Schizosaccharomyces pombe: one gene and its partner. Changing the gene in region 2 together with the main gene of any one other region gives a genetic interaction. Each region holds a gene or a part of one and is shown on either strand. Other genes may lie near its edges.

Region 1 (5,529 bases), on a different chromosome or scaffold from region 2:
AGAGGAACGAAACTTACTTAATAAAACAAAAGCATTTGCTCGACTTTTGACGGGCCCTGATTACCAAAAGTTCGTGAACAGCTATCACGAGCAAATAACCCTAAAAAAACAAATTTCTGATTTACAGGAATGGCGACAGATGGGTCTTACTACACTCGAACAAGGACATAAATATGAACGCGATAAAACGCAAAAATTCCTCTTAAGTAAAGCTTCTGCTTCATATGATAAGCAATTGAGGCATGTTAAGTCGTTTAACCAAACCACTTCCGCTCCTTTTCAAGTTCGTGACATTCAAAAGATTGTTCCTCGAAAACCAGCGACTCCCACAATGTTTTCTGCTTCCGCTGATCGGCAACTGCTTTCAGAGGATGAGCAAGCGCTTTGCTCAAAACTGCAGATTTTCCCTAAACCATTTTTGGCTCTAAAATTTGCCTTAATATCGGCTTCACTGACTTCCAAAAAACCATTTCAAAAAACCGATGCAGTTAATTTATTTAAACACTTAGACGCTAATAAAGTCGAACAGGTGTACGACTTCTTCCATAATGCTCGGTGGATTGGCGCTCCAACCTAAAAGTACTGGTTTCTTTTACCTTTTTCATATTACTCTTGTTTATTACCTTTACGTTTTGAAATGTAATTTTACTAATTACCCCTTCACCTTTAATTACATCTCCGTCTTTTTTTCCCTTTTCAATAGCCGTTACGTTCTTATGCTTAATAATTAAAAAGAGTTTTCCATCAATTTTCTACACTAGTAATTTCGGAAACTACAAGAACAAAAAACACTACATCCAACAATATCTGAGACTTTTTCTCAGCTGACAAAAAATAAATAATCTTCAAAGACTTGAGGTTGTCAGTAATAATAATAATAATAATGATAATAATAATAGTAATAGAAAATGATCTTGTACGACAAAAAAAGATGACAATAATGAGAAATGAACGAAGCTTTGGCCTTTATAACATACAAATATGTAAAAGAGGCAAGAAAAGCGGCATGTATGAGTAAAAATGAGAAAACTTTCAAAATAAACAAAGAAGTGTCAAATTCATCACCTAATGACACTTCCAGGTGCTATTGTATTAATGTCGTCGGATGTATCAATGGTTGTTGGTCGTTGATAGCTCCAATTGGCAAACCTTTGTTGAACGGTTTCAGATAAGTGAGAATCGGCAACAACACTATCCATTGGGATTTCCGATGTAAATTCAGAATCAAAATTACTAGTATCGATAGCTGATTCAACGCTTGGTTTAAAGGGTGGCTGTATCTTCTTGGCGCATAACTTTTTCCAGTCGATATCATCAAAGAAAGGGTGATTTTTTATTTCTTGCGCCCCTCCACTACCCAGCCGCTTCTCTGGAGCGCGGGTCAACAATCCACTCAATAAATCTTTTGCTTTCTCGTCAATGTTGTCTGGGAATCGCAAGGGATCTTGAAGAATTTTTCGGTACATTTCGTTTATATTTTCATCATAAAAAGGAGGAAGTCCTGTAATCATTTCGTAAAGTAGCACACCTAAAGTCCACCAGTCAACAACTTTTGTATAACCATGACCCAAAAGCAATTCAGGAGCGAGGTATTCAGGGGTGCCACAAAAAGTATTCGTTCTATCGGTTTTAGCCATGTTTAGCTTACAAAGTCCAAAATCACACAAAGCAATATGACCGGTGTAGTCTAATAATATGTTTTCCGGTTTTAAGTCTCGATAAATAACGTTGAACTCATGCAAACATTCCAAAGCAACAAGTAGTTCAGCAATGTAAAATTTGGCACGATATGTATCAAAACAGCCTTCTCTTTGTAAGTGATGAAATAACTCACCACCGTTAACAAAGGCCAGGACAAGATACAGCTTACCGGGAGATTGAAAGGAGAACTTTAATGGAACAATAAAAGGGTTATTAACTTGAGCAAGTACTGTCCTCTCAGCCAATGTGTGATCTACTTCACTGCGAGATACAATGTGGGCTTTTTTCATAGTTTTTAAAGCATAGATACGAGAAGTGTCACGCTTACGCACTTGCATGACTTTTCCAAAAGAGCCTTTGCCAACCACTTTCAATAGTTCAAATGCATCAATGGTTAAAGGGGTACTTTGATTGGGTTTGTAAAGCATTTGAACACGAAGTTCACCGCTACCCCCATGCAGGGGTACCCATTCGTCTGTAAGCTTGTTTACAATGAAAGAAGGCGACAGTTTAATCCCGCCTAGGAAAGCGTCATTCCCCATACCGTTGCGCGAGCGGCTGGATGAAGAACGAAGGTAAATATTCAGGGAGAGTTTGGAATAACGGGAAACGTCAAAAGTTGCCTGATAATCCCAGCAAGGATTTTCAAGGCTTGCAGTATTTAGAGCATCTACTAAGATTTCATTTTTGTCGAATTCAACGACGATATAAGGTAACCACCAAGCATGACTACGAGACCTTGCGTGTCCCGAGCCATTACTAAGTGGAGGGGCAAGTAAAGAATTGTCAATGGAAACCCCGTAGTTGGCAGGAACATGTCCCGACGGTAATTTTAAATTTCTAGCTTCTATAATTGTGACCTGCAATAAACCAGGCTGCACGACGGTACTTTGGGGAGACCGTTTATCCTCCGAGCTTTTCCGAGATTTTTCATCACTTGATTTACGAGAAGAAGTAGAGGATAAAGTACTGTTTTTCAGACCTCTAGTAAAACTAGAGCCGCCAGAGTTCAGGCCAATAGCGGATGCTAGATGAGTTTCTTTTAATTCTAAAAAGCGAAAAGCTGTTAGTATGAAAAAGAAAGACAGAGTGTGATAACCCGTATTATGGAATACATACTCTTTGTAAGTTTCCAGGACATTTCGGTAACGTCTGTTTGGAGTAGAAAAAAAAAATGAACTGATTTTTAAAAGCTCGCTTTCCCTCTATCTTTTCTTTTAATATAACGAAAATGATAAAGAATAAGGTAACGAGGCTGCAAAAAAGCTTCAATCTAACAAAAAACGTATTTATGGACTAATTCGAAGACAAAAACGGGAAGTGTACCAGTAAGCGAATACGAACGAACAATCAAATCAAATCCAAAAAAAAAATAAAATAAAAAGTAAGCACAAGTTGCAATTTTTTTTGAATAAACGAAAGGGGATACAGGCGTTTGGTAATGTCAGTATAGTAGTAAATTCGTCAAAGAAATCTAATCCCGATAAGTAGTAAGCAAGGGTGTTGATTTTAAAATTCAAAATAAATCGCAATCTCTTTTATTCCAAAATCCCTACTAAAGGAATGCTTCGTTGATAAAGTCGATTTCTAAGCCGATTTTGGTATTACGACTTTGAGCAAAGTCGCCTTCACCTCGCGGAAATTTTGACGAAATTGAAACCAATCGACAGCACTAAATACGTTAAAGTCAATGAAATAAAATTTGATGTCAAAAATGCTTTCGTTTGATATTCCCTTTGTTAGGTCGTATTGGCAGTCAGTAGATGTGGCCAGCTCGGATCATCCGTATTCCTAAAATACAAGTGGTACAAGACAGCAGCTTTTTGCGGCAGAACAACGTGAGTTCGATAAAATATTATAAGGAGAGCTACCGATACGGTCGGCACATTACGCAGGTTTGTCGTATAATGATCAAAAATTATAGACCCTTTTCTCGTACGATTGCACTATATATAAAAGTTCTTTGCAATGGTGTTTTACATATCAGCTATTAAATTAGTTAACTTAGTAATGTCAAAAAGATGGAATATTAATATAGAGAAATTAAAAGTGCTGGTGTACTCTTGTAAGTGGTAACTTGCTCAAGTTTGTAGTGACCTAAATTGAAACATAGGATTTATACTACACGTGTCAAGAAACAGCACTCAAATGGATCAATTTACAAAACGAAGTATATAGCAAAACAATACAAATAATTATCTTGACAATTATCTGCGGACAAACGCAAAATGCCGTTTACGCGTATGTGTAGCTTAGCAGACCAATTAACTTTATTTGTTTTAAAATAATTATAGAAGCATGTAAATACCACCGTTAGGATTGCAATATCCTCTTTACAAAACAAGTCATTTATTTATGCCTTCCATCAGATTTTTGCAACTTCCAAGTACGATGCGTTTTGTAAAATTTCAGTTCCTTGTGCAACAAGCGAAAAAAAAAGATAAAGCAATTTAACGGAAAAGCAATTTGTATACCAATGCTCTACTTTTAATACACTGGACGCTTCGTACAAGTCCTTCAAAGTGTATATAAATCCAAAGAGAACTGAAAAACAAAAAACATTTTCAAATAAAATAAAATAAAATAACATATAAAACAGAAATAAAACATGAACAATGAATTTATGAAAAGAACGAAATTTGTTGAAACTGATGACTCACTCAACTGTAGGCAAACCCTTACTTACCCATGAGAAAAGCAAATTCTTTTCGTAGTTACTTCTAGAAGGCTCCTCACTAGTAAAAGCGATGTTTCTTCAGAGTTTTGAATTTTCTCACAGAGAGCTCCCTTTGTGTGTTTTATTTAAAGGGATGAGACGAGTTTGCCAAAGCGCCTAAAAAAAGAAACCGGTTATCGAGCGCAGATATAGAATTGACAGTGTAAGTAGCAACAAAAATTTTAAAAGAGTAAAGTAGAATCAAAAACTATATCTAAGTTTAGAAAATCCCTAAAGAGAAATTTTCAGGTGAATGTTAGGGGGTAGGTTCCGGTTGAATTTTTAAAGGACTAAAGCGGCAAAAGCAGCAATGCTCAAGAGTGAAACAATCAATAATGAACTCTTGGAAAACCGGACAGGGGACCCACTCTCCATCAATTCGCGCCCTGTATTGGGAATGGATGCTGCGTATCCAATGGATCCGGCAGGTGCAGAAGTGTAAGTAGTAGATGGTTGATATTCGGTGTAACTATAAGGACTAAAAATAATATTAGTAATTTTACACAAACAAATAGTTTCCATAAAATGACAAGCATGACTTACAAAATGGTTTCTACACCATCCGACCAAGATTTGTCGGTGACAATCACAACATCGCTCACAGTAGTAGAGTAACTTGCCTGAGTTGAACTAGAATCATCATCCCTCTTAACAAATGGGGTCAAAGGAATTTTTGAGGGCAAAACACGATTAGCTAAATATACTGAGTTAGCTATTTCACATAGTCACAAAATATAAAGACAGAGACATAGAGAATAGAGAAGGGATGTAAAAAGAATACCAAAGTTTAAATATTAAAATATTTAAACAATGATTAAATGACAAAAACTCGGTCTACGACATTATACAACATTAAGTGCACGAGTTGGATGGACAGCAAACTTTTTACATAGCCTCAATGTACTTACTGTAGAGCAATTCAATTTCAGATAAATGCTCGAGATCTCCAATGGGAGCCACCAAAGTAGCGAAAGCACCCTGAATGATCAAGAATGAAGCAAAAACCAAAAGCGATGAAACTTTTCCAAACATTTTGCAAATGGATAAGAAGTACAGCTTTTAAGCACTAGATAAATAAAGAAGAAGGGAATGGTTTATCAATTAGCAGCACA
Region 2 (5,741 bases):
TATGATGCTTCCTTTAATAACACTTCTTCTGATCGATCAGCGATTAGTGTGTCTTCAGAATCTAACTCCAGCCAAGCTGAGGATAAACCGACCACCTTGTGCACATTTTCTATAGTAAAATTGGTTAATATAAATTTTCTTTCAAATTTGAAACATACCCTCAGGGTGATAAGCTACTTCATCGTCGAGGAATTCCTGCAAACGCTCTGACGGAGCTAGAGCTTCAACTCGTAGCTTTAAACCTTCACCACTTAACGGAACTCCAACAAACTCAAAACCCTCTTCCAAAGACAAGGAAATGGTCCCCTCTGAACAAACTATTCCTAGAGTGGGCGTTTTAGAATTCATCGGCGGAACTGGCAATGGGTAAATACTGTACTGTGGAATACGGCCATCCCGCAATAACATACGGTAAGGGTTGGGACCTTGTGTTGCAAAAACAAAAAAAAATTGTTTAGTTGAGTAGCTAGCTTATTGTTTGTGAGTGTTTTAAATTTCAACTTGGTTATTTAATTAATGAATTTGATCTATTAAAACTTACATCTTTTCTAAGAAGAAAAGGCTAATAACTGCTATTCTAGCATAAAGTAATTAATTATTTTTACTATATAGTTTTCTGCGAATCAATCTTGTCAAAAATCACTTTATTATTTCTAAACAAAGTCGATATGAAAGAAAGTAAAGTAAGCACCCTTTTGTCAATGACAACCGAATTCGAAAAAGATATCTTAAAAGAGTCATATCAGTTATTTTGGCTTCGCAGTTATTGAGGTAAATGAGTGCGTCAGATAAATTTCATGAAAACTTCATCATTCATGAGGTAAACTTTTGCATTAACATCAGTAAAAAGGTGAAAAGATGGTATAAAAATCAGTTCTAAAACAGCATTGAAAACAGTGCAAAAAATATTCATCATTAACCATGGGTAGTAGGTTCAGCGCTTTGTTTATTGACACTTCCACCGCTTTGTAATGGACGAGGATGCTGCATTCTGTTCATTCGGCCGCCTCGTCCACGTCCACGATTGGTACGCATTCCAGTTCCATGTCCCTCCATCCGGTTATTTCGATACCATCCTCTATTTTGACGATAGTACGAATCATCACGCATGATATTCACCCGCACACCTTCTGGAACTTTGATGCTTCCAAGGGCCTTTGAAACAGCATTCTGGTTTTCAACAAATACATATGCATAGTTAGTGGGGTTTACGTTTTGAGGAGCTTGGGGACTTTTGTAACGATTGAGTGAAGTACGAATTTGAATATTCGTAATCAGGCTGTCTGTCCCGTCCTTAAAGTAAGAACGGGCTTCCTCTTCAGAATTGCAAGGGGTAATATGAAATCCACAACGTTCATAACGCTGCTCACCACTATATTGACGGAATTCACGATCGTTGCCCTTCTGCATATCAGTTCTTCTACCTTCTTGTGCTTGAGATCTTGTAACATTTGCAGCATTCTCTTGTTCAAGTATGGTAACCTCTGTAGTCGTCTCACCTAGCTCGAGATTTCCAGTACCCTTAGTCACCTCTTCAACGTCAACTTCCTCTTTCCCTCCAATTGCTGGTTGTTCTTCTTCATTAGGACTAGGCTTCTCTGCTACGCCAGAAATGGGTTCTTCCTCGGCAGCAGGTGGTCCCGACTTCTCTTCGATTACTTCATGAGTCTCAGCCGACTCTTCTGTAGTATTCGCTCTTGACATTCCTAGCTCATCAGTATGTTCCTGATCGTACCCTTCAATCTGTTCTTCTTCGGTTGGTGTAGCCGTAGCTTCTCTGTTCTTGGTAAACTGTGCTTGAGATTCCACCAACCTATTGTTAGCGTAATAATAGGTACCGGTATTTTCCGAAGTTGAGCGTGGAATGTGAGATGCATAATTTTCGTTACGACGTGAAGCCATGCGACGATAGCCTAAATTAAAGCCATGAGATTTGCTTTCCACTTGAACATGCCCATTTTCGACGACAAAAACAGTCCATCCAAAGGAAGCATCTAATAAATTGAAGTTCCATAGGTTTTTAAAAGCAGTGCCGGGAAGCATGTTATTCATAGCATATGAGTTAGTTGCATCGGGCATGCGAGAGACTAGGCGAACAACATTGTTTATTAGATGATGTTGTTCAGGGGTAACCATCTTCTCAACCTCAGCCTTAACAGTGTCATACACTTCCATAAACTGTGCACGGGCAGCCGAAAGTTTTTGAAGATAATGTTCAGGACTATGATTTACGCAAAACTCATTGTAGCTAGCTCCATAACGAAAATGAAGACCGGCGGATAAAGTCAGGTCAGCCTGGCAAGCAGTAGCTAATTGAGAAAGAACACCTTCTCTTCCAATGGGATGATGCGTAATAAAAATACGTGCCTCCTCTCTGTCAAGCAGGCTCTTAGCGGTTTCTATTAGTTCACCCATTTGAAGGATTGTAGTCCACATAGTACCCTGGCCACCAGCAATAGTTCCTTTACCGTCTCCATTGTCAAAAAGCTTAAAAGGGACATAAGGACCTCCAAGACCAAGTAAACGGATTTTCATATCTCCAATTTGCAATAGGTAGGAATGAAGTTCGTCCACTATGTTAAGGTTTGGAATAGAATATTCTCCAGAACGAAATTTTTCCAAAACGTGCACATCTTCGCAAGCTCCCCATACTACATATACAGGGACTGAGAATTTCTTCTCTTGTGACAAAAATTGAGGTAATTCTGAAAGCAGGCAATCGGGGTGAGAAGCAATACTATTCTTCAAATCCCCAATTGGATTCGAGGGATAATAATCAAAGTTTTTGGACCTAGGAAGCTTTTTTATGAGAGGCGAGAATTGGACAATGTGACGAAGAGTACTGAAAAAAGGTTAGAACAAAGAAAAATGAAACATAAAAATTTTTGACACAAAACATACCGTTCAGATATGCTAGGAAGTGAGGATCGCTCAAAAAATCCAAAGTCACCAGTGTGGATGACACAGGAGGCATTGGTTTCCTCAACCAGGCTATTTATTAAACTCAGTTCACCTGAAGGGATAGTTATTAGTAAAAACGCGTATTAAAGAGTAGTAATTTTAAGGATAGGAATAGCTAAGGAGAATAAAGTGTATGGACAAAATTCTTTTACGAACCAACGAGGATCTTTAATGACAAAATGAGTAAATTGAGCAATTGCGCTTCAACTCCTGCTAAGCCATTATGGATAAGTTCATGCAAAAGCATACAAATTCGCATCTTCTTATCTTAAAAAGTAAAACGATCGTCGATAATTCCCCCGATGGGGTGCTTTTGAATTCTCGCTGGCAGCTCTAAATCCATAAACAACGCATACTTACCTCGAACATCGGCAATACATAAGATCCTGGATTTATTATCCAATGTGAGTACTTGAGCTGAAACATCCAACGTGGAATTATTCTCGGAATCTGAGTACGTTTTAGAGGATTTATTTTCCAGCGTCCCAGTTGAAGGTTCCGCTTGAATATCACTTTTAGCCGTCTTTTATGTAATTAGTTTAAAATTTTTGCAAAGATTCATTAGATCTATACTTACATCCACGCTCATTATATCGTAAAAATCTAATGAAACGGATAAAACAGTAAATGGTGTTGAGTAAGGGTTTTGTGATGATGCCTCAGTTTCGGCACTGTACTACTTCCTACTACAATAAGAGAATGTTGCTTCGTAATGTTATAACTTAGATCCACCACAAACGAAGTAAAGTAAATTAAATATATAAATACACAAAAAGCAGCAGTTAATAGATAGTTTTTGAAATTTTTAACGTGACAATTGTATTTCTGTAGTATAAAACTCCACAAAAAATAAAAATAAAAATAAAATTTAGTATATATTAATATATATATTTATATATAAATATGAAAAAAAAAGGTGCTTCAATGAAGGATTACAAAATTCTTGAGAAAGCTCGGTAATCGGGACGGCAGAGTTTATTAGGGTATATGTTAAATGTTGCAGCTTTGGAATGGAATTGTTAACTTATTTTACACATACTATGACTTAAGTTTGCCTCGTGTACAGTAGATGATGCTACAGTCTGAAGTATATTTCAATTTCGTTATATCGTTTTTCCAGGTTGAGATTTGAATACTAGTTGCAGTGCGAAATTTACAACATTTGAAGTATGTAAATGTTCTGTTTATTTGGCAAATTGAATAAAATAAGACTGTTAGCAATTTTTTCGGTTTTTTTCTATGTACAACAATACTCTTTTGTGTTATTAAATAATGCTCGTTTACTATAACTTAAACTCGTTTGTACGCTGTATTCTTACTACTAAGTATTGTCAAGATTTGGAAGCAAGGGCATCGCCCCATCAACTAGGTCATATAGTATTCGCGTGCTTCAAGTAGCACAGCAGCACATTCCCACCACCGAGTGGAATTCGAAGTTGTGTGCAGTGGTATAAATTTTGGAGAAGTGTAAGTTGTATATAATTCAAGAATGAAGAGATTTATGTAATGATTGATACAATCGGAGCTGTCGATGCATACATTCTATTAAATGACGGATGGACGAATTGTTTACATGGCTATTTGTTAGACATTCTTGTCTATGGCTGTTGCAAGTTCTTCATTTTTCTTAGATTCTCTTCCTCAAATACTTGTTGCATCTTGTTTATTCGTTTGCGTTCCGAATTTGCTAATTTTACATTCAAGAATATCGCGGCAACTGTTAGTCTGCCTAAATATTGTTTTAATTTCATTTTCTGCGTTTTCAATTACTTTTATATTTAAAAAGGTTTAACAATTACTGAATTGAGTGGTTATTTGGGAAGCCGTGTTCGAACAGCGTTCAAAATTGATGTCAGCCTTAGACCGTTGTTGATTGCGAATCAAAATGGATTGGGTTGCATTGTCGAAAAGCTGTAAAACTCATTTGTTAGATGAAGGCCTTGACGTGTCTTCAATACATTGTTTTGATCAGTATTTGATAGTAGGCCAATGTTCCGGCCAAGTCATGGTATTTGACGTTTCTACAGACAATCATTTCACTTTGATCCAAACATTTATAGCACACAAACATTCCGTTTCTTCTATAGTTTGCCTTCCATTTGAAGCTGATGGAATTGTAGACCTATCAATCATTACACTCGACGAATCTGGGTATGTTGAGCAACTCTCATTAGCCGAGCAGCAATTATCAAATTCATTATTTAACTTATTTCTTGCTAACATTTTCTCAGATTACTTTGTCAATGGCTACTGAAAACATGTGACCGACGAGCTACTTTGCAATTGTGTGACGGGCTATGTTTAAAGCTATTTAGATTAAATAACAACTTTCTTGCTGTTACCGGAACCTTTTTGAAAATATATCTCATTAGAATCTCCAACTTTCAGATAGTTGCGACTTGGACTGGTCATGAGGACTGGCCTATTTTGTTTCCGTTCAAAGACGAAGCTTTATTAATCCCTGTCGCCTATTCAGATGGATCTGTATCTCTTTGGTCAGTTGATTGGTCAGCTCTTACTTTTAAAAGAAATTCAGTTACAAAAGCAGATGTTAAACCAACTTTTGGTAAGGTTATTGATGTTGTACCAGCAGATTGCATTTCTTCCAATTATGCGCTATATGTATACTCGGATGCGGTAGTACTATTGGAATCGCATGAGAAATTTATAGCTTCATATTCACTTGCAGAGATAACATCTGTATTTGTTTTGGCTGATGGCACGGCTTGTATTTTTACTCTTTCGTCTTCAACTTTACTCAAACTTCATCAATCTCCTGA

Evidence for each region.
Region 1: of SPOM_SPBC16H5.12C (region 2) and gad8, changing one suppresses a phenotype caused by changing the other (phenotypic suppression), as found in Schizosaccharomyces pombe (one study listed by BioGRID).

The regions. Positions count from the first base shown.
Region 1 is NC_003421.2:910,430-915,958, reverse strand, and holds gad8 (serine/threonine protein kinase (AGC family) Gad8), read right to left. Parts: upstream 3,460-5,529; 5' UTR 2,843-3,459; coding exon 2,821-2,842; intron 2,750-2,820; coding exon 1,062-2,749; 3' UTR 721-1,061; downstream 1-720. Other genes in the region: SAGA complex subunit Ada2, read left to right, coding at 1-577; SPOM_SPCC24B10.06 (uncharacterized protein), read right to left, coding at 4,700-4,895, 4,961-5,111, 5,326-5,449. UniProt on the Schizosaccharomyces pombe protein: Involved in a signaling module for sexual development and cell growth under stressed conditions. Required for G1 arrest under nitrogen starvation and for growth at high temperature and osmolarity.
Region 2 is NC_003423.3:2,271,882-2,277,622, reverse strand, and holds SPOM_SPBC16H5.12C (uncharacterized protein), read right to left. Parts: upstream 3,597-5,741; 5' UTR 3,551-3,596; coding exon 3,539-3,550; intron 3,485-3,538; coding exon 3,322-3,484; exon of another isoform or gene 3,014-3,321; coding exon 2,902-3,013; exon of another isoform or gene 2,843-2,901; coding exon 916-2,842; 3' UTR 628-915; downstream 1-627. Other genes in the region: protein arginine N-methyltransferase Skb1, read right to left, coding at 1-109, 159-348; wdr7 (WDR7-like protein), read left to right, coding at 4,847-5,112, 5,193-5,741.